2 linked regions of the Drosophila melanogaster genome follow. The protein of the gene in region 1 interacts with the protein of each later gene in a pairwise test. Each region holds a gene or a part of one and is shown on either strand. Other genes may lie near its edges. The genes, in order: Tsp42Eg and CG4287.

Region 1 (10,512 bases):
TGACCCCGCAGCACTGCAGCCAGGACTCGTAGTAGCTCAAGGCGCCTGTTTGGTTGCGCTCCGATTCCCAGAGACGGTCGAATCCCTCGTTGATGCTGCCCGAGATTCCATCCTTGGTGCCGTGTGAGGACATGCCGAGAAAAATTAGCTGGGCGAGGATCAGCAGCACCACGGCTCCCACATACTATTGGTTTGGATCGGATTTAGAAGAAATTAGTGGAAATATCCGAGACAAGTTTAAATCTAATAGATGCAATCAAAATCTACAAATCAGCTTTGCTGAAAACAATCGCTTCTCACTAAGCTTACAATCAGTATCTAAGCTGAATCATCGCATTGGCTAAATCTAATCGTTTAGGCTACTAACATACTCTATAATTTATGGGTGCAATGTGCAAAAAAGCACTGACCAAGCAGGACAGTACTATAATGTGCACCCACATAAAATAAAGAGTTTGTATAGCATATTGTCTTAAAACAGTATTACTTAATCAGGAAATATGTTTAAAAAAAAAAATATATATATCTTTTAGCAAGTCTGCAAGGGCAATGAGTAGAAATCAGAGCTACTTACTATGAGGAGCCTCACAGGAGCCTCATGGATGGCAGCCAGGCAGCCGAAGATCGCAATGATGAGGATGACAACGCCCAAGGCGATGATTAGGCCCCCGGCCACATTTTTCCCAATGCTGACTGCATTCTCAGCGGCGGAGATCAAAAAGAAAATTCCGAAGGCGATCAGCGCCAGCCCGAGCACCTGTGGAAAACGAGAAAAAAGTTAGGTTGGCATATATAATACTTACTAGTATCGCTCTCAGGTGTGCTACTCACGGAAAACACAAAGTTCAGCAAAAGCAGCACATGCTTCACTGTAGTGGCGCCCAGACCCATGATTACTGTGGATCAATCAACCTGTAGATGCGGCTGGAGACCGACTGTTAAGATGTACGAAGGCAACGCGCAGTAGAGTGCATCAGAGGCCTTACATATAAGGCTATATGGCCAGCAGCCTGTTTCAGATGCGTATCTTTCGGATACAGCGGCGCGCTAAGATCTTTCGACGTCCGACCGCCGTGGTTCAGCTGTGCGAATCAACTGGCAGCGCTGTGAGATGGAAACCGAAACAGTGTGTTTTGTTTTGACTTAAACAACGACCGACTCACCGATCGCTCATTCATTCTATCTATAAATCGGTTAATGAAAATCGAGAGCGAGAATCGCCCACTTGCGCGAGCTTTTCTTGTTTATCGCCGATCCCCACACGTTTAGATTCCTGCTGGCCAACGAAAATCTCTTGTAAAAGTTTAGTTTAGTCAATGGCAACGGGTTTATTTATTTTCGTTTCGAATTATTTCGTGGGCGTGGGTGCCAGTTTACAGTTTTATGAATGAATACTTGGTATCTGTAGCCTAACTTGGTTAATCATCGTAAACTACAATCACAATTCGCCAGGGCCGTATGGCTAGGAAATTACTCACAACAAATAACGATAATACGGTTCGTGCAAATCCCTAAATACTATCTTAATTATAGAATCTTATGCGGTCGCGATGATTGCGAATGCTGTCTACCAGGTAGCAGGTGGTCACCGAGCCAGCGAACTGCAAATACAATAAGTTAATATAATAAACATAAGTATGTAATGATAGAAAGATACGGGCAATTTAAATATTTTGTAAATTACTTTGTTTAGATTGAGAACCAAGCAAAAACCAAAGATGCTAGATGGTAGTTGAGAAACTCTAAAACTGTCTACTTACCTCAAAGATAACAAGGAACCAACTTAGCGAGTGGAAGTTGGCTGTCTTTGCGCCGACATACTCCTTGAACTTGACTTCGCAGCCTGTCATGAAAAGATTCAGATGCTTGGTGCAGTCCCGATTGAGACAACAACTGGGAGGAGGCATCTTCTCCAAGTGCAGGTAGTCCTCGGCACTGTTGCGGCCACAGCAGTGAAGCTATTGAGTTGTAAGTTTAGCTATGATCTGAAAGTGTTTAATTAAAAGGACGGCAAGCTTACCCACTCCTCGTAGGTGTTCAGTGTGCTGTTGCCCTCGTGTTGCAAGTCCCACAGGTCGTCAAGTCCCTGCCTCAAAGAATCCGGTAGGAAATCTCGGCTGGCGGCATAGCTTATGCTGACCAATACAATCTGAACGATCAGGAGAAACACCAACAAAACGGCGTACTATATAAGAAAGTTATAGGAAAGGTGAGTTATACAGGTGAGTCATAGAATCAACGTCGAGTACTTACGCAGATCAACAGCACCCTGGAGTCCTTGGCCACAGCCACCGATCCGAAAATGCTGGCCACCACGATGACGGTGCCCAGCAGGACGCAGAGAACGGCGGCCAGGTCCTCACCGTGATCCATTCCCAGCATCCGCTGCTCCTCAGAGAGGCTATCCAGCAGCCAGGCGCCGTACCAGATGAGCAGGCAGCCACCTAGCTAAACAAAGGCCACAATCCCTTTCAATGTCAGCCGATCGGGTCTATTTCGGGCACTTACGGCACAGATGCCACTGATGACACACAGAACGTATCTGAGCAGTCGGGTGGTGCAGTACATGGCGCAGCTAGCTTTCGATTTTCACAATTTTCATGCGAGTTTTTCCGTCGGCGTTCCAAGGCGCACACCTTGAGCAGTGCCATCAAAATATAGACTAAAGTCGCATAATCTCCATTTGTTTGCCTGGGGCGACTCGCAGAGCTGTCGCCGGCAACCGATTAACCCACAGATTCGTTGGCTGCTTCGGATTCTGTCGCCATCCCGTCCGGTCCGGCCCGATCCGATCCGACCCGTTGGCCAGATGCAGTGGCCAAATAAATGCCAGGGGGAAATCAAAGGCGAGCACGGTCCGCAGCGAATAATACCAATGAAAACAACCGACCGCCCACGCGCTCTACAAAAATGAGCCAGCATGTGGCCACCCTCACCTTTTGGCCGCCACTCCCCTCACCTCATTATCATAGGAATGATGTCAACCGATCTTTAGATCTTCAGATCTTCTGGATCTTCGGCCAGATTCTTTATTTGACTTGTCTCCTCGAAATGCTGTTACAGAAAATTTGTGGCTTAGGTCGAGCTTAGTGTAGATTAAGTTACATTCTAAGCGGAATATAGAATCCGCTTCAACATTGCAGTTATCCAAAGTGATAAATAGAATACAAACAACGCACTGCTTTCGGTTTGCTTGGCTTAAGTAAATTTGTTTTGGAATCTCTATCGAGTTTCGGCTTAAGTATTTGTATGGAGAGTTCTTTGGCCTTAAGTATGCGCAGCTTAAACTTGAATTTTCGAAATGCATTTCAATGTATTTCAAAATGGTATGTGAACCTATTTCTGATAGTACTTCGAGCGTCGCCAGCGGTTCACGATGCTATTGGCCAGGACATAGGCCAACAGGGCGCAAATCAGCTGTGAAGGAATAATTGGTTTTCATTATTGAACATCATCTAACTCTCAATAACTCTCTACCCACCTCCACACCCAATAGCACCAGGGAAACCAGATTAAATGTCGTCCAACGATCGGCGATAAAGTCCAGGAACTTTTGCCGGCATCCTTCAAGATTCAGTTTGTCACTCTCGCCGTTGTAGCAACTATTCGGGGGCAGAATGTAGTCCGAGGGCCCCACATTGCCGCAGCAATCCAACTAAAATAAATGGCATGAAAGGGTCTTATTGGGCACCCCCACCTTTTATAGATCTCGTCTCAACTTACCCATCGCTCGAGGCTGGCAATCTGACTCTGGTTGCCAGGCTTGATTGGCACCGGCTGGTCATTCCACAGTTTATCGAACGTTTTGTCCACGTTAATCAGCAGCGAGGTTTGGAAAACCCACAGGAACCCAACTGCTAGAACTTCCAGTATGACCAAGACAATCAGAATAACAACGAACTGGGCAGGCGACAGAGAAATATAATTATAATTTAAATTCAGATTAGTATGTTTTATAAGACCACTTTTTTTAGTGAATTCAATAAATCTAGAGAAATCTCAAATATATAGAACCAATACATTGGTTTCTAAAAAAGCTTTGGTACCTACAATTTTTTAAGTTCTGGGAACCAAGAAATTTTAATTTCGGTCCATAATTTTATGAATTATTTGGATTTGTTGAGCTTTACGGGCATAACATACAGTATAGAGTATACTTTTACAGTGCGAAGAGTATACTATATTCGTTGAAAAGTATGTAAGAGTTTGGAGAAAGTGTTTCCGACGCTATAGAGGATATATATATACTTGATAAGGTTCCGCCTAAGCCGCCTAAATGTATGGTTTATTGTACTTAATGTACTTCTTACTTACCACCTTAGATGTGGCACTGCTCTCCCGCGCTGCTCCCAGAGCCCCGAAAAGGGCGGTCAGAACGACGACCACGCCCACCGCGATGATGACGAAGGCGGCCGTGTTGAAGTGCTCGAATTTGTAGATGATGTGCACACCAAGGCCGATAACAACCAGGCCGAACAGCTGTCGAAATGGGGAGAAGTGGATGATTGAAAAGTTAAATAATTCAGCTTTGTCCGAGAGGTGATAAAACCGTATCGCCTGAAGGTTTTCGCGTTGAGTCAGTATGCAAATGAGGTTTCTCTCTACCGAGAATCAATGGAAACAATCCAGGCGTTCGGCTGTGTGATTAAATCTTAGTTCTTACAAAGATCGCCGCACAGCGATGTTTACTCATTCTCGCCGAACTAATGCCATCATAGAGCTATATTACGTATACGCAGAGTTGTCTCTAGAAAACTGCCTCTCACTTTTCGAGTGCATTGCGGTTGCATTTTAAAATTACCGCCATGACTCACTAGATCCACAAGCACAACGCTACATTTCGCACTCTCCTGCCAAATGTAGGCTCTTCGTAATTTGGCAGCTTGCCCAGAGAAGCGAAAAGAATTCAAAATCCAATCCCAATACCGAAAGTAAGTTTTCGAAATGCGTAGTAATTACAAGGCGATGATGTTTGCACACGGCAACCTGTTGACGCCAGCAATTTGTAAATTATTTTTACAATTGTCGTTGGCAAACAAGAAAACCAGTCGGCAAATACGTTGGCTTTGACGAGCCACGTTTGTTTGTCACCCCAACTCAATGGGCCCGGCTTAGAAAACGCTTACGAATCAGCCCAAAGCCTACGAGGTGATTATGAGTGATTTCGACGATTAATAACGGCAGCCATGACTGATTTCGAGTGTAATTCCCGGTCAGAAACGTTTTGGTAACCCTAAACTGGGCGTAACGCTTTATTTTAGGCTCTGGATAGTAGGCAGTTAAATAAATATTCACTTAAGGCTGAATTTAATGAGCTTTGTTGCCCAATAAGGCAGCGGGTAAATATCATTTACATTAATAGAGTTACAATCGACACTGGCCCATCAATTAATGCTTATGAGACAATGGGATGAGCTGTAGTTCAGCAGACACGTCGACTGAGGAGACATCTGGCACTGTTTTGTGGATGAGCGAGTGTGTATTGCGCGCCATTTAATTGTAATTTATTATTCCCCGGCGCCCAAAATCCCGCAAAGTCCAAATAGGCGCTGACACGGAAAACCGAAAACACAAAGGCACGTTCTTGAAAGCCCGAAAATCGAAAACAAACAAATTGTATTAGTTGAGGAAATGCGAGCCAAGCATGCCACAATCTGAATTCACTTAGGACCATCGACCCATAGTTAGACTTTGTGATTGAGTACCGCGCTATGCGACTTAATTCGAAGCAGAACCTTATGATCGCCATTTGCACAGGGAACAAGCCCGCCCACTCAACCGGTGATATCGAAAGCGGACTATTACGCCCGTCGAGATTGTTTAACGGGCCAAGAAGACACTCAGGTGATGTCTAATAAACGCGATAAGATCGCCATGTGTTGGCAACAGAGAAACAGCAACGTTTTATTAATTTGCTCCCATTTCCCCACGCAGACAAGCAATTAAACGCAATTATCACCAGACTAACCAAGGTCGGACTTCGGCAGAGCAGTGCGGACAACTAATTTGCATATCCGTTGATAAGGGGGACAGTAGTCCGCTGAGTAGGCAGATCAAATGCCATTGCCAGAGCTCGGAATCAATGTTCAAAAACGTACAGGGGACCAGATTTATGTGGGTTTGCTGTCGGCATGGGAGCACTAAAGGCTGAGACACAAAGGTTAAGCCCTACCCTAAAACATAATGAAGTAATTTCAGTTTCAGCCTGGGCTCCAGCATAATTGAAATCTCTCAACGCGCAATTCAAGAGTTAACTCGCCTGGAACCAAATGCGGAAAATCGCGCATACGCCGTGTGGTGCGCGCTGGCATTTCCTCGGCCTTCAGTCGCATTCCAATGGAATCAAACGCCAGAAAGATGCCCAAAACGTCTAGGAAATGACATCAACAGATATGTATATGTACACACGGCCCAAGCCAAAATCTGGTTCAAGTAAATCCAACTAAAATAACAGCGAATATCTAATAAAAATTCTGTAGATTTTGTTCAGGGTTAAGTGATGGCGTGGGTGACCAAGTTTCGACTTGGCAGACATAAAATGTTGAAAGCCAAATAAAAAGCTCAATAGAAAATAAACAAAATACAAGCAAATATCTAAATATTATATCATTTTTAAAGATATTTTTGTGCGGGTGAAATTCGCTAGAACATGGTGCCTTTTAGAAGAGTTTTTCCCTATCTGGCTGATGTAAAAGTATTTGCCTCAACATTCAAGTGAATTTGAAAATGAAACACAAAAACAAACAAAAATAGCAAAACAATATTTATGCTTAAGGAGGCGCTCCAATGTTTGAATTCTGTGCAATGAAATAAACAAATGTCACGTCAAAGGCTGATGGATTTGTGAATGAACTTGGGCGAAGCTGGAGAACGTTTCTTGGGCAAGAACTGGCATTTGGCCAAAGTTAAGTTGTTTTCCTGCAATTAGCCTTGGCTAGAGCTTCAGCTTAATTACTGTCGTCGTGCTGTTTGGGGTCACCAGAGTTGCGCGACAGAAATACCTGCCCCTTAACGCTTAAAACATGTAATGCTTAATCTTTATGGATGCTTATAGTATATAATACTCACAGCGAGGATAATATCCCAAAAGAGGGCAAAGCCCTTCAAAACGTTTGTGGAGCAGGCCATCTTGCCAATCCAATTTTCGGAAACTATATATCTATTGTTTCTTTGCAGGAGGTTACGCGTATTATTTATAACACTTGGCAACTCGCGGCTTGTTGACAATCGGAAAATATTTATTTCGGATCTAACGGTTGCTGGGGTTACCCAAAACCGGGCTCATGCTCACCGCTCGACTGTTAACTGAAAACTGAAAACTTTTCCAAACGTTCCGACTTTGTTGATAGCGCGAAAAGCATTTGGCGAACAAACGGCGGAAATCGGAACGAAAGCTTCGGCACAACGTGTGGAATCGAAACATTTGGCCGCAAGAGCGCAATGATTTTGTGCTCAACTAGATATTTACTTATATATGTTCGTTAGCGTGTACACAGAAAACAGAAATAGATGACGATCTATTTGAATAAAATGGAAGACGCGGTGGCCCATGCTAGTTATACCCCTTACTCGAAAAAATAGGGTATGTTGTGCACGTGAGCAAGGAACAAACATTTCCTAAAAACACCACGATATCAACATAAGCTGACTTATCTGCTGAAATACAGAACGACGATTGTACTGATCCTTTAATAAAACACTTCATTAAAAATATCATATTTTTTCCAAAAAGTGCAACAGGCTTGGAAAGCTAATATACCCTGATTACTTTGAGGGTGTGTCGCATCTCATAGTAATAGTACTCTGACTGCAGCATTCTCGCTTTTTTTATTTTATTTTTGCCAGTAGAAATATTCGGTTTATAATTAATTTCCATTTGAAACGTTCATCGTGTGTATTTATTTTTTGGATACCAAAGCTTTTCTATGTGTGAGCAACATAACCGGCAGTTTTATTTTTAAATATAATATCGTTTGTATAATTTATACAAGCAAACCACAAATGTGCCCCACAATGTGTGCCCCAATACGTTACTAATCAGGTGTGTGCAACTATATGGATAACTAATTAGGTTAGAATAGTAACGAAACACGACCCAAACACGCTAAATATAATGTGTTTTTCAATAATAACAGAATGAAGTAGGTGCTTGACTTTGGTTCGATAAATTTATTTAAAAGTATGTTGAAATAAATAAAACTAAATCTATTTTACTTTTCTTAATCTTAGTTGTGAGTTGCCCTCTGTATTTCACTGAAATCAACGTGTGAAAAGGGATCATTTCAGTGCACTGTGCTGATTAAATGAGTTTCAATTTCGAAAATATAACAGCAATACCCCAGTCTTGAATAACGCTCAAGACCTGCCAAGCCAATTAATTAATAGTGTAATATTCTTCAGAAATTTAACAAGTCGACTGCCAATCCCAGTTGAGTATTTTCAGGTTTCACTGTCTAAAAGTAAGAACGTCGAGCATCGTTGCGAATGCTGTTGCACAGGCGGCAAGAGATGACACTCAGCAGGAGCTGCAAGAGATGGGGACATTTTAAAAACAGCGCTCAGTCGTTCGCTTTTGGGACACCCACCTCGAAGCCAATGAGTACGAGGGCCAGGATGTTAAAAATCTTGGTCAAGTGTTGCCAGTAGTTCTCGAACTCCACCCGACAGCCGGTGTGGATCAGGTTCTCCGGCTTGCTCTTGTCGTGGTTTCGGAAACATGTCTCCGGCGGCAGTCGTTCGTTGACGATGTAATCCTGGGGACTTCCACGACCGCAGCACTGGAACTACGGGTATATGGGTGATTATCAGTGTTTATGACTCTAACTAGAGCCCTGCTGTCAACTCACCCAGTTCTGGTACAGCGACATGGCACCAGGGCTGTTCAGTTCCTCCTCCCAGGTGGCCTCCAGGGCATTAGCCAGGTTGGAGGCCACCGTCTTCTCCTGGGTGATCAGCAAGTAGACGACGGCGAACTGGGCAATGATGACCAGGCACAGGAAAATAATGAACTGCAAGGAAATAGAACCGTATACCACCATGCTTAACAGTAGACACCCATCCTTGACTTACCGTCACTGTGCAGCACACGTTCTCGCGCCAGGCGGACAGGTATCCCCAAAGGACAACCAGCAGGGCAGCAGCCCCGAGTCCCACGTAGCCGTAGGCCGTCAGCTGACCGATCTCGTTTAGGTTGTAGGACACCGCCACATAGATGCCGAAGGATATCAGCACCAAGGCTAGCAGCTGTGGGATCACAAGTCCAATATTAGTAGGGAATCTTGGGAGCTTCTCGAACGGAATGAGCATTCTGACCTCATTAGAAATACATATATGTTGTTCGTTTAGCTCAAGTAATACAATTACTAGTACCGAAGACCGAAATGAATTGTCTGCCTTAAATTTATCTGATAAGATAAGAATACGTGCGTACATACAACACGATTTAAGTTCAAGTTGAAGACTTTCAAAAAGATTACAATAAATCAAGATTAATTACATGTAAAGGGTAACACTTTATCATAAATTTGATAAGCTTCAACGCTATGAATATATATATATATATATATATTTAATATTAGTTAGATAATTATAAGGGTGGCGCTCGACAGCTTTGATAGCTTTGATAGCTTTGATAAGAGACCGCTGAAATCCCACAATCAAGCCGTCCAAATTCAAATTGGCCGGCAATACACATTCATAGACATGTTGTTATTGTATAGTGTTTGTTATGTTATTCAGCTTATCTTTCCTTGCGAGTGAAACTCACTGAATTGGCAATAGTTACCTTCGTCAGCAACCCATTTAACTAAAGTCCTGGTACTTGTGGCCTAGTGTTCCATTTCTAGTGTTTTGACCTCGCACAAGGCGTTAGTTGGAGAGCCCATTCGGGGGCGTCCTCCAGGCTAGCCCATCTGGCGACAGGGATAGACGCCAAGGAAGTTGGCGGGAACGTGGTGTGGGAAACTAGGGACTGGGAAGTCGAAGAAGGACACCCACAGCAAACAATTCGGACAGGACTGCGCACACAGACAAGGTCACTCGATTACTATTCATATCTGATACGGCGGTATCGCAGCGGATAGCTTGTTTGCTAACGCGCTTGTTTGAGTGGGTTTGAATTATTCAAATTCAGTCTCTGTAGCATTGGGATAAGTTTAAAAGGTGACGTGAGGCGCTCATACAGCGATGATGTTTCGATTCGAAAATGAAAGGCGAGGTGCAAACATCGGTGATTAATTCGCTAGCTGTTTCGATTTAGCTCTGATACGAGTGTGACTGTTTTCCGATTGCAATGGATTCGTCCGAAAGTCATGAGTAAGCCGAGTCCCTGCTGCAAGTCCAGATATCGATTGGAAAATTTCGAATTGATGAGCTGCCAGCGGACGGATAGCCCGATCGTATTATATATGCTGTGACCTCTGGGGCCATCTGGTCCTTCTCACCGCGGCTTGCAATTAAATTGTATAAATAAACCAATAAACTATAATCGGGGAATTGGGTTCGACCATTAGA
Region 2 (7,720 bases), on another chromosome or scaffold:
AATACAAAACTATTCGAAACCACAGAACTTTGAAGTGCCTAAAGCGCACGATGTTGGGCTATCCATGAGACGAGGCAGTCCCAGCGCTCTTCTAGTGCCGGTGGTCCACAATCCCAGACATTTCCCTGGGGGCTTGCCTTGGGTTGGCCTATTGGAAAAGTTGGTTGAGATACTATAGCCCCCGACCCAACACCCACTCAATTATTGGCCTCTGAGCAAAGCGTTCTATTCAGTTACGTTCAGACATGATATAAGACACTAAAGCAAAAAAGAAAACAATTTTATTTAACCTTAACGTTTTAACTGAAAACTAAAAGGAATCCAAACCAAGCCCTAACCAATCCGGTATTCAAATGTATGTAACTACTATATTCTCTTTTATTTGGTTGACACACCGAGTGGCAGCGGTAGAGGGAGTCGTCGGTATTACTTGCCAATTGTTCAGCACACGAAGCATCAGAAATCTGGCAGTCAGTAATTATCAATAAGTACTTATAACATATAGACAGACACACAACTATGAGAGCGGGCCAGACGAGAAACTGGCTAATGCTATATATGCAGATCATATTTCAATATAGTGACTAACAATTGAGTAAACAAACATGCTTCAAAGGGAAATTTTGTTATTTATATTTATAAATAAATTATATATAAATATATATACACACATATATATATACAGATAAATTAATGCATTTGAATTTAATGTGTAAAAATTATTATAATAAAAGTATAGATATAAAATATGTAAAGATACGAGACACCCAAAAAAAAAAAAGTTGAAAGTTTAGTTTAAAAATCCTTGAAATGCTCTTCTTTTAGAAATTTTGAATTCAAAACAAGCGAAATAAAAATGATAGTAACTTATTAGTTGAGAGCAAAGAAGTAACATTCAAACGTATTATTTATCCCTCAATAGTTAATAGCCCAACAACAATATTACAGAATAAATTATCATTGATTGATGCTTAAAAAACACGTTCAAGAATAAATAAATAACAATGCATATAAATACCAATTGTTTAGCTCAATTTAAGGCGCGCCAACAAGTTTTTCTTTTCCGAACGTTTTCAGTTCGAAACAAACTTCTTTTTCGATTTTTTCTAAACAACTATCACCTTGCTGTTCCACTACCAATACACGAACTTCCTTGAACAAAACTAAAAACAAACAAATTGCCAAAACAATAATACACTGATTGGACTTGAAAGATCAAGAAACTTAAAACGCAATTAATAAATTACAAATAACAAATGAAAAGTAAATGCAATTATAAACAATAAGCAGTTCAAAACATTTGAAACAAATATATACACATATATATTTATATATTTCACTAGACAAATTTTTATGCATAAACTAAAAACAAAACAAATTCTATATTATCAATGTTTTTGCTCTAAATGTCTAACTAATTGTTAATAAAACCAAAATAAAATTATTTTCTGCAGACAAACGTTATATGAGAATGAGAATGCTATGAATGTGTAATTATTTGTTAGCAGTCACGAAATATATGGAAAACAGGCAGGCGGATGTTACGGAAAAAGTAAAAGTTATAACATTAAACTGTATATTGTACATTTACTTTTAAAGAAATGAAATGTATTTACACGAAACGGCATGGAATATGACAAACTAAAGAAATTTTAAAATTTATATTTACTTTGTGCGTTTTTAAACATGTTGGCGACACAATGACAAGCAAATTAGTGCATAAACCGAACTAATAAATAACAATAAATATTAAAAATTAAAAATTAACGATAAATAATGTAATAATGTTGACAACATATGTATTTTACAAGGCAGAACAACCCAACCCCTAGATCCAATCCTCACCGAATCCTAAAAGATATATCAAACCTCCAGCATTGACTCTCACACACATTTTTTATTGTCTGCAAAGAGATTATTATTATGAAGCCGTAAAGAAAGCAAAAATTAAATTAATGTTTATGAGCAAAGTTTGTTGAGCAGCATTCCATTAATATACATTGCAAAATTAAGTAAAATATATGTAAATGTACTAATTAAAGTATATCACCCCCGAGACGGAAAACCGAAAAGTATAATTTAGTTGTTTAATGATTGATAAATATTTAGACACCAGAGGATTCCTCGTAGCATCCTCCGGATGCAAAAATTGTCAGCTAGAAACAGAGGCACTCCCTGAAATGCCATAGAACATTTTCCACTCAATTTAAAACCAACGGCAGAACGTGGTGTTTCTCTGACGATAGCACCCTGAAAACTAAGCACAGCAAACGGAAAATAAATTAAACATTTTGTGTAAAGTTCGATGACAGACCGAAGACGACAGCATGAACACGTACGAGTATATACATAATAAATATATATGAGAACAATTTAACGAGATTAAAATCAACTAAAGTAATAAAGGGAAAGTGTATAACTATTAAAACTAACGAAACGCCAAGCTCTTTCATTTCGATTTTCGCATATTGCATTCAATTTATTCACAATAATTTTCGATACATAAATTACAGGATCTAACACTAAACGGATTTAATAAAACATATTTTTGGACAATACACAATGAATTAACAGTGGGGTTAATAAGCATGCGATTGTGCGCCAGTGGCACGCCAATTAATAATTTACAATATTGCAATTGACTAAAATCTGTAAATCTCATAGGTGTCCCCATATTTGCAGGGCAAATACCCTCGGACTCGAAGCGGGGATTGGGATTGGCTTCGCTTTGCTTACGGCTAGTAACACAATTTCAATGATTTTTCGTTGCCCTTACACCTCGGAACACTTTGCTAGACATTAATGTGCTTTTAGTGGCGGGTCACCACCGGGGACTACGTCGATTTGGTTCGGAACGCTCGTATTGGATGCTCTTGAAGCGGCTACTTGCCTCCAGATGCAGCTGCTGCTGTTTCGGTTCCGGATGTCCACGAGTGACAATGTCTTTCCAAATCATGGTCAAAAGTATGAAGATAGCACCCACAATCTTGTTCAGAAACTCGATTAGTTTAAACACTATTGGAGTGGCTGTATGTGTGAAACGACTCAGCTCAAACAGGAATCGCACAGCAAATACGCCTAGGAATCGTAGCGCTAGTGCGGCTCCACCCAAGGCAGAGAAAATTAGTAGACCCAGAAACCGAATGGTGCCCAAAATGTTCCTCTTGTTGACATCGTTGGTCATGAAGTCGTACACGGTTTGTTTGACTCCATCACCCCACTGTTGCAGCACAGCCAAAAAATCATTAAGGCCCAGCTGAATTTGCTCCGCCACTTCATCCGGCTTGGAGGAGGAGTTTTCCCCACCCGCTGTGATCGCCTTAACAGGGCTACTTCTATTAAGAATCAGTGATCTCCTCGGCGTCGCCATCAGCTCTGGCTCCACGGGCCTTATCATCTTCAGTTTGAACTGGACTTCATGGTCCCGGAAGCGAAGGGTCTTGATGCTAAACCAATACTCTCCAAAAGCCAGATCATTCATCTCTGTCCAGATGCAGGTTTCCAGTTGACCAGGATCTGCTTTGTGCTGGTAACTTCCGTAACTCCCATAGGTGATGCCCACCCACATATTGGGCACGAAGCGTTGATAAAACTTTTGTAATTGGCCGGCACTCGAGTGCAGCAGCTTCTCCAACTCTCGCTCACTGCGTTGAAGCACCACCACGTCCCGGTAGCCGGACACCTGCTCCACCAAGCAGCGTTCCATATAATAACCGCGGAAGAGACGAGACTTGTAAAGCTGCTTGGTTAGTGCTTGCATGGCCAGTTCCTCGGGCGGCATATGACGTCCGCTCGCCTGTGGCATCAACGCGCTGTTGTCCATGGCTAGCTGTGTATGAAATCCTTTATTACTGGTCAGCAAATGACCTGCAGCAACCTTACCGATTGATAGTGATTGGACTTTGTTGCAACCACTTTCGCCGCTTAGTCAGCACAGCGCTTTTGTTATTGTTTGACCAAGCAATTTGTGCCAGTCAATTAAGGGTGAAATAGCTGTCAGCTGTTGCTTATTTCTTATTTTTTTTACGACCATGCATAATGCACTTAAATTTTGGCTTAATTAACTTTAAAATTCAGACATTTCAACATAAACCAGGTAGACACAAATTAGGCAAGCAGCTGTTGAGTTCGATAGCCGATAACAATAAGGGTGACCATACCATATACAGTCGATTTGCGAAGTATACAATTTTCAGTGGACTATCGCTAATGTGACGAAAAAAATTATAAAAAACATTTTTGATACTCATTTTTCCCAGTTTTTCCACCCGGCCACGTTGGTTTCCACCCACATCAAGATTTCCTCCCAACAGCGTCTGCTCGAGTGCTTCAGGATGACTTTGGTGGGCCTAGCTGCCCGCAAATTAGCGCAAAAGAAGAGGTTAGTCGCGTTTAAGAAGTACCCCAGCCGGCTTTTTTGTTGTAACCTACGAATTCTGTAACAACAGATCCGCAAAGCAAGCAGCAGACTTTCCCAATGGCATCCGGTGCCAGAAGTGCCTGCAGATCGGACACTGGAGCTATGAGTGCAAGGAGAAGCGCAAATACGTCCACCGGAGCTCGCGTACCAAGCAGCTAAGCAAGCGTATGTCCCAAAAGGAGGCTGACGCACCCAAGAACCAGGTGGAGGAGCACTCGGAAGTGGCTTCCTCGGAAGGAAAGAAGGTCCGTCGAAAGCGGAAAACGAGCAAGAGCTCCTCGTCCTCCTCCAGCTCGTCGGACAGCTCAGACAGCAGCAGCGAATCGGGCTCCTCATCCGAATCAGACTCGAGCAGCTCCAGTTCGGATTCGGACGACGAGGAAGGCAGCTCGTCAGACTCCAGTGGAAGTGGCTCGGACAGCGACAGCAGCGAGGATCAAAAGCAGGGAGCTCCACAAAAAAAGAAAAAACGAGCCGGGAGTTCACCTGAATCTTCTGACGATCAAGAGTAATCAAGAGACCGATTTGTGGTCTGTAGTATGTAGCTTTACTAGTTTAGTTTTCCCACACTTACACCGAAAATGAACATACTTTTGGTACTGTATTGTTTATATTTTAATGCTCCCAACATGTACGTTTTTCTGGTAAAGTTCCAGCCTTAATAACAATTTTAATCCGAGTCGACTTCCTCCTCGAAACGCCTCATTTGGCTTACGAGATCCAGATCTATTTGCTGGCTGTTGACGAGATGGGACTCCATCACAGTTGTGATTGGGGACTGCTCCACCGACAGATCTATGTGGAGGGGATCCCTTCCAGGGGAGCACTGCGTTTTTGGGTTCTGCTGGCCCACCACCTGAGACTTGAGATGCAGCTCCTCTACCTGTGGAACACTGAATTGGGAAAACCGTCATTGAAGCAAGAGATTTGTAGATACCTTTAGTGAATTTAATGCCTCCTGAATGACGGGGAGCACTCGGTCGAGTTTCTTCTGGATAGCAAATAGTTCAGCCTGCTCTTTTTGAAGGACTCGATTTGTTTGCAGCATTTTGAAAACAAATAATAAACTTTAACCTTAGAAAGACCCCTTTTTAATGAAGGCCTTATATGGTATACTTCCAATGGACAAGGAAATAAATGAATTGAATTTAGATTACTTATAAAAACTAAATGATGTTAAAAACATGAAAGTATTTTAAAAGTCACTTGCTTTATGAGGAAATGTAATTAATTATTTAGTAAGTGAAAGCAATGGGTTAAGTATCAGCTATCGATAAGCCAGCTAAAGCAGCACTGTTGCAAAAGCAAAATTTCGATAACAATGGCGGTGAGGCAGGCAGCAATCGAAATCATTCGCGCCTTTCTGAAATTTGCATTTTGTACAGTCTAAACGGGGATTCGCGTAAACTACGCAGAAATATAAACAAACAAAAACTAGTAGACTATAGAATATAAACAGTTTCCTACCAATGGAGACTTGTGAAGTGGAGGGAGAGGCGGAGACGCTGGTGAGACGCTTCTCCGTCAGCTGCGAGCAATTGGAGCTGGAAGCGAGAATTCAGCAAAGCGCTCTGTCCACCTACCATCGCTTGGATGCGGTCAACGGGCTGTCCACCAGCGAGGCAGATGCCCAGGAGTGGCTGTGTTGCGCCGTCTACAGCGAACTGCAGCGCTCGAAGATGCGCGATATTAGGGAGTCCATCAACGAGGCAAACGATTCGGTGGCCAAGAACTGCTGCTGGAACGTGTCACTAACCCGTCTGCTGCGCAGCTTTAAGATGAACGTGTCCCAGTTTCTACGCCGCATGGAGCACTGGAATTGGCTGACCCAAAACGAGAACACTTTCCAGCTGGAGGTTGAGGAACTGCGTTGTCGACTTGGTATTACTTCGACGCTGCTGCGGCATTATAAGCACATCTTTCGGAGCCTGTTCGTTCACCCCGGCAAGGGTGCGGACCCGGGTGCCGCGAATCACTACCAAGCGCTGTATGAGTTCGGTTGGTTGCTCTTCCTGGTCATTCGCAACGAGTTACCCGGTTTTGCGATTACAAACCTGATCAACGGCTGTCAGGTGCTCGTTTGCACAATGGATCTCCTTTTCGTGAACGCCTTAGAGGTGCCCCGATCCGTAGTTATCCGCCGGGAGTTCTCTGGAGTGCCCAAGAATTGGGACACCGAAGACTTCAATCCTATTTTGCTAAATAAATATAGCGTGCTAGAAGCACTGGGAGAACTGATTCCCGAGCTACCAGCGAAGGGAGTGGTGCAAATGAAGAACGCCTTTTTCCACAAAGCCTTAATAATGCTCTATATGGACCATAGTCTAGTTGGAGACGACACCCATATGCGGGAGATCATTAAGGAGGGTATGCTAGATATCAATCTGGAAAACTTAAATCGCAAATACACCAATCAAGTAGCCGACATTAGTGAGATGGACGAGCGTGTGCTGCTCAGCGTCCAGGGGGCGATAGAGACCAAAGGGGACTCTCCTAAAAGCCCACAGCTCGCCTTCCAAACAAGCTCGTCACCTTCGCATAGGAAGCTGTCCACCCATGATCTACCAGCAAGTCTTCCCCTAAGCATTATAAAAGCATTCCCCAAGAAGGAAGACGCAGATAAAATTGTAAATTATTTAGATCAAACTCTGGAAGAAATGAATCGGACCTTTACCATGGCCGTGAAAGATTTTTTGGATGCTGAGTTGTCTGGAAAACGATTCCGCCAGGCCAGAGGCCTTTACTACAAATATTTGCAGAAAATTTTGGGACCGGAGCTGGTTCAAAAACCACAGCTGAAGATTGGTCAGTTAATGAAGCAGCGCAAGCTTACCGCCGCCCTGTTAGCTTGCTGCCTGGAACTGGCACTTCACGTCCACCACAAACTAGTGGAAGGCCTAAGGTTTCCCTTTGTCCTGCACTGCTTTTCACTGGACGCCTACGACTTTCAAAAGATTCTAGAGTTGGTGGTGCGCTACGATCATGGTTTTCTGGGCAGAGAGCTGATCAAGCACCTGGATGTGGTGGAGGAAATGTGCCTGGACTCGTTGATTTTCCGCAAGAGCTCACAGCTGTGGTGGGAGCTAAATCAAAGACTTCCCCGCTACAAGGAAGTCGATGCAGAAACAGAAGACAAGGAGAACTTTTCAACAGGCTCAAGCATCTGCCTTCGAAAGTTCTACGGACTGGCCAACCGGCGGCTGCTCCTTCTGTGTAAGAGTCTTTGCCTCGTGGATTCCTTTCCCCAAATATGGCACCTGGCCGAGCACTCTTTCACCTTAGAGAGTAGCCGTCTGCTCC

The links.
Region 2: the proteins of Tsp42Eg (region 1) and CG4287 interact in a two-hybrid assay, tested with the Drosophila melanogaster proteins (one large-scale study listed by BioGRID).

The regions. Positions count from the first base shown.
Region 1 is NT_033778.4:7,025,715-7,036,226, reverse strand, and holds Tsp42Eg (tetraspanin 42Eg), read right to left. Parts: upstream 7,317-10,512; 5' UTR 7,129-7,316; coding exon 7,069-7,128; intron 4,480-7,068; coding exon 4,315-4,479; intron 3,901-4,314; coding exon 3,724-3,900; intron 3,656-3,723; coding exon 3,482-3,655; intron 3,418-3,481; coding exon 3,337-3,417; 3' UTR 2,994-3,336; downstream 1-2,993. Other genes in the region: Tsp42Ei (tetraspanin 42Ei), read right to left, coding at 1-184, 575-757, 832-891; Tsp42Eh (tetraspanin 42Eh), read right to left, coding at 1,524-1,601, 1,761-1,958, 2,021-2,185, 2,254-2,448, 2,509-2,568; Tsp42Ef (tetraspanin 42Ef), read right to left, coding at 8,454-8,525, 8,586-8,783, 8,847-9,008, 9,070-9,243.
Region 2 is NT_033777.3:15,959,717-15,967,436, forward strand, and holds CG4287 (uncharacterized protein), read right to left. Parts: upstream 4,152-7,720; 5' UTR 3,883-4,151; intron 3,830-3,882; 5' UTR 3,824-3,829; coding exon 2,822-3,823; 3' UTR 2,451-2,821; downstream 1-2,450. Other genes in the region: CG5516 (uncharacterized protein), read left to right, coding at 4,335-4,381, 4,449-4,932; CG32856 (uncharacterized protein), read right to left, coding at 5,091-5,303, 5,358-5,468; Rbf2 (Retinoblastoma-family protein 2), read left to right, coding at 5,890-7,720.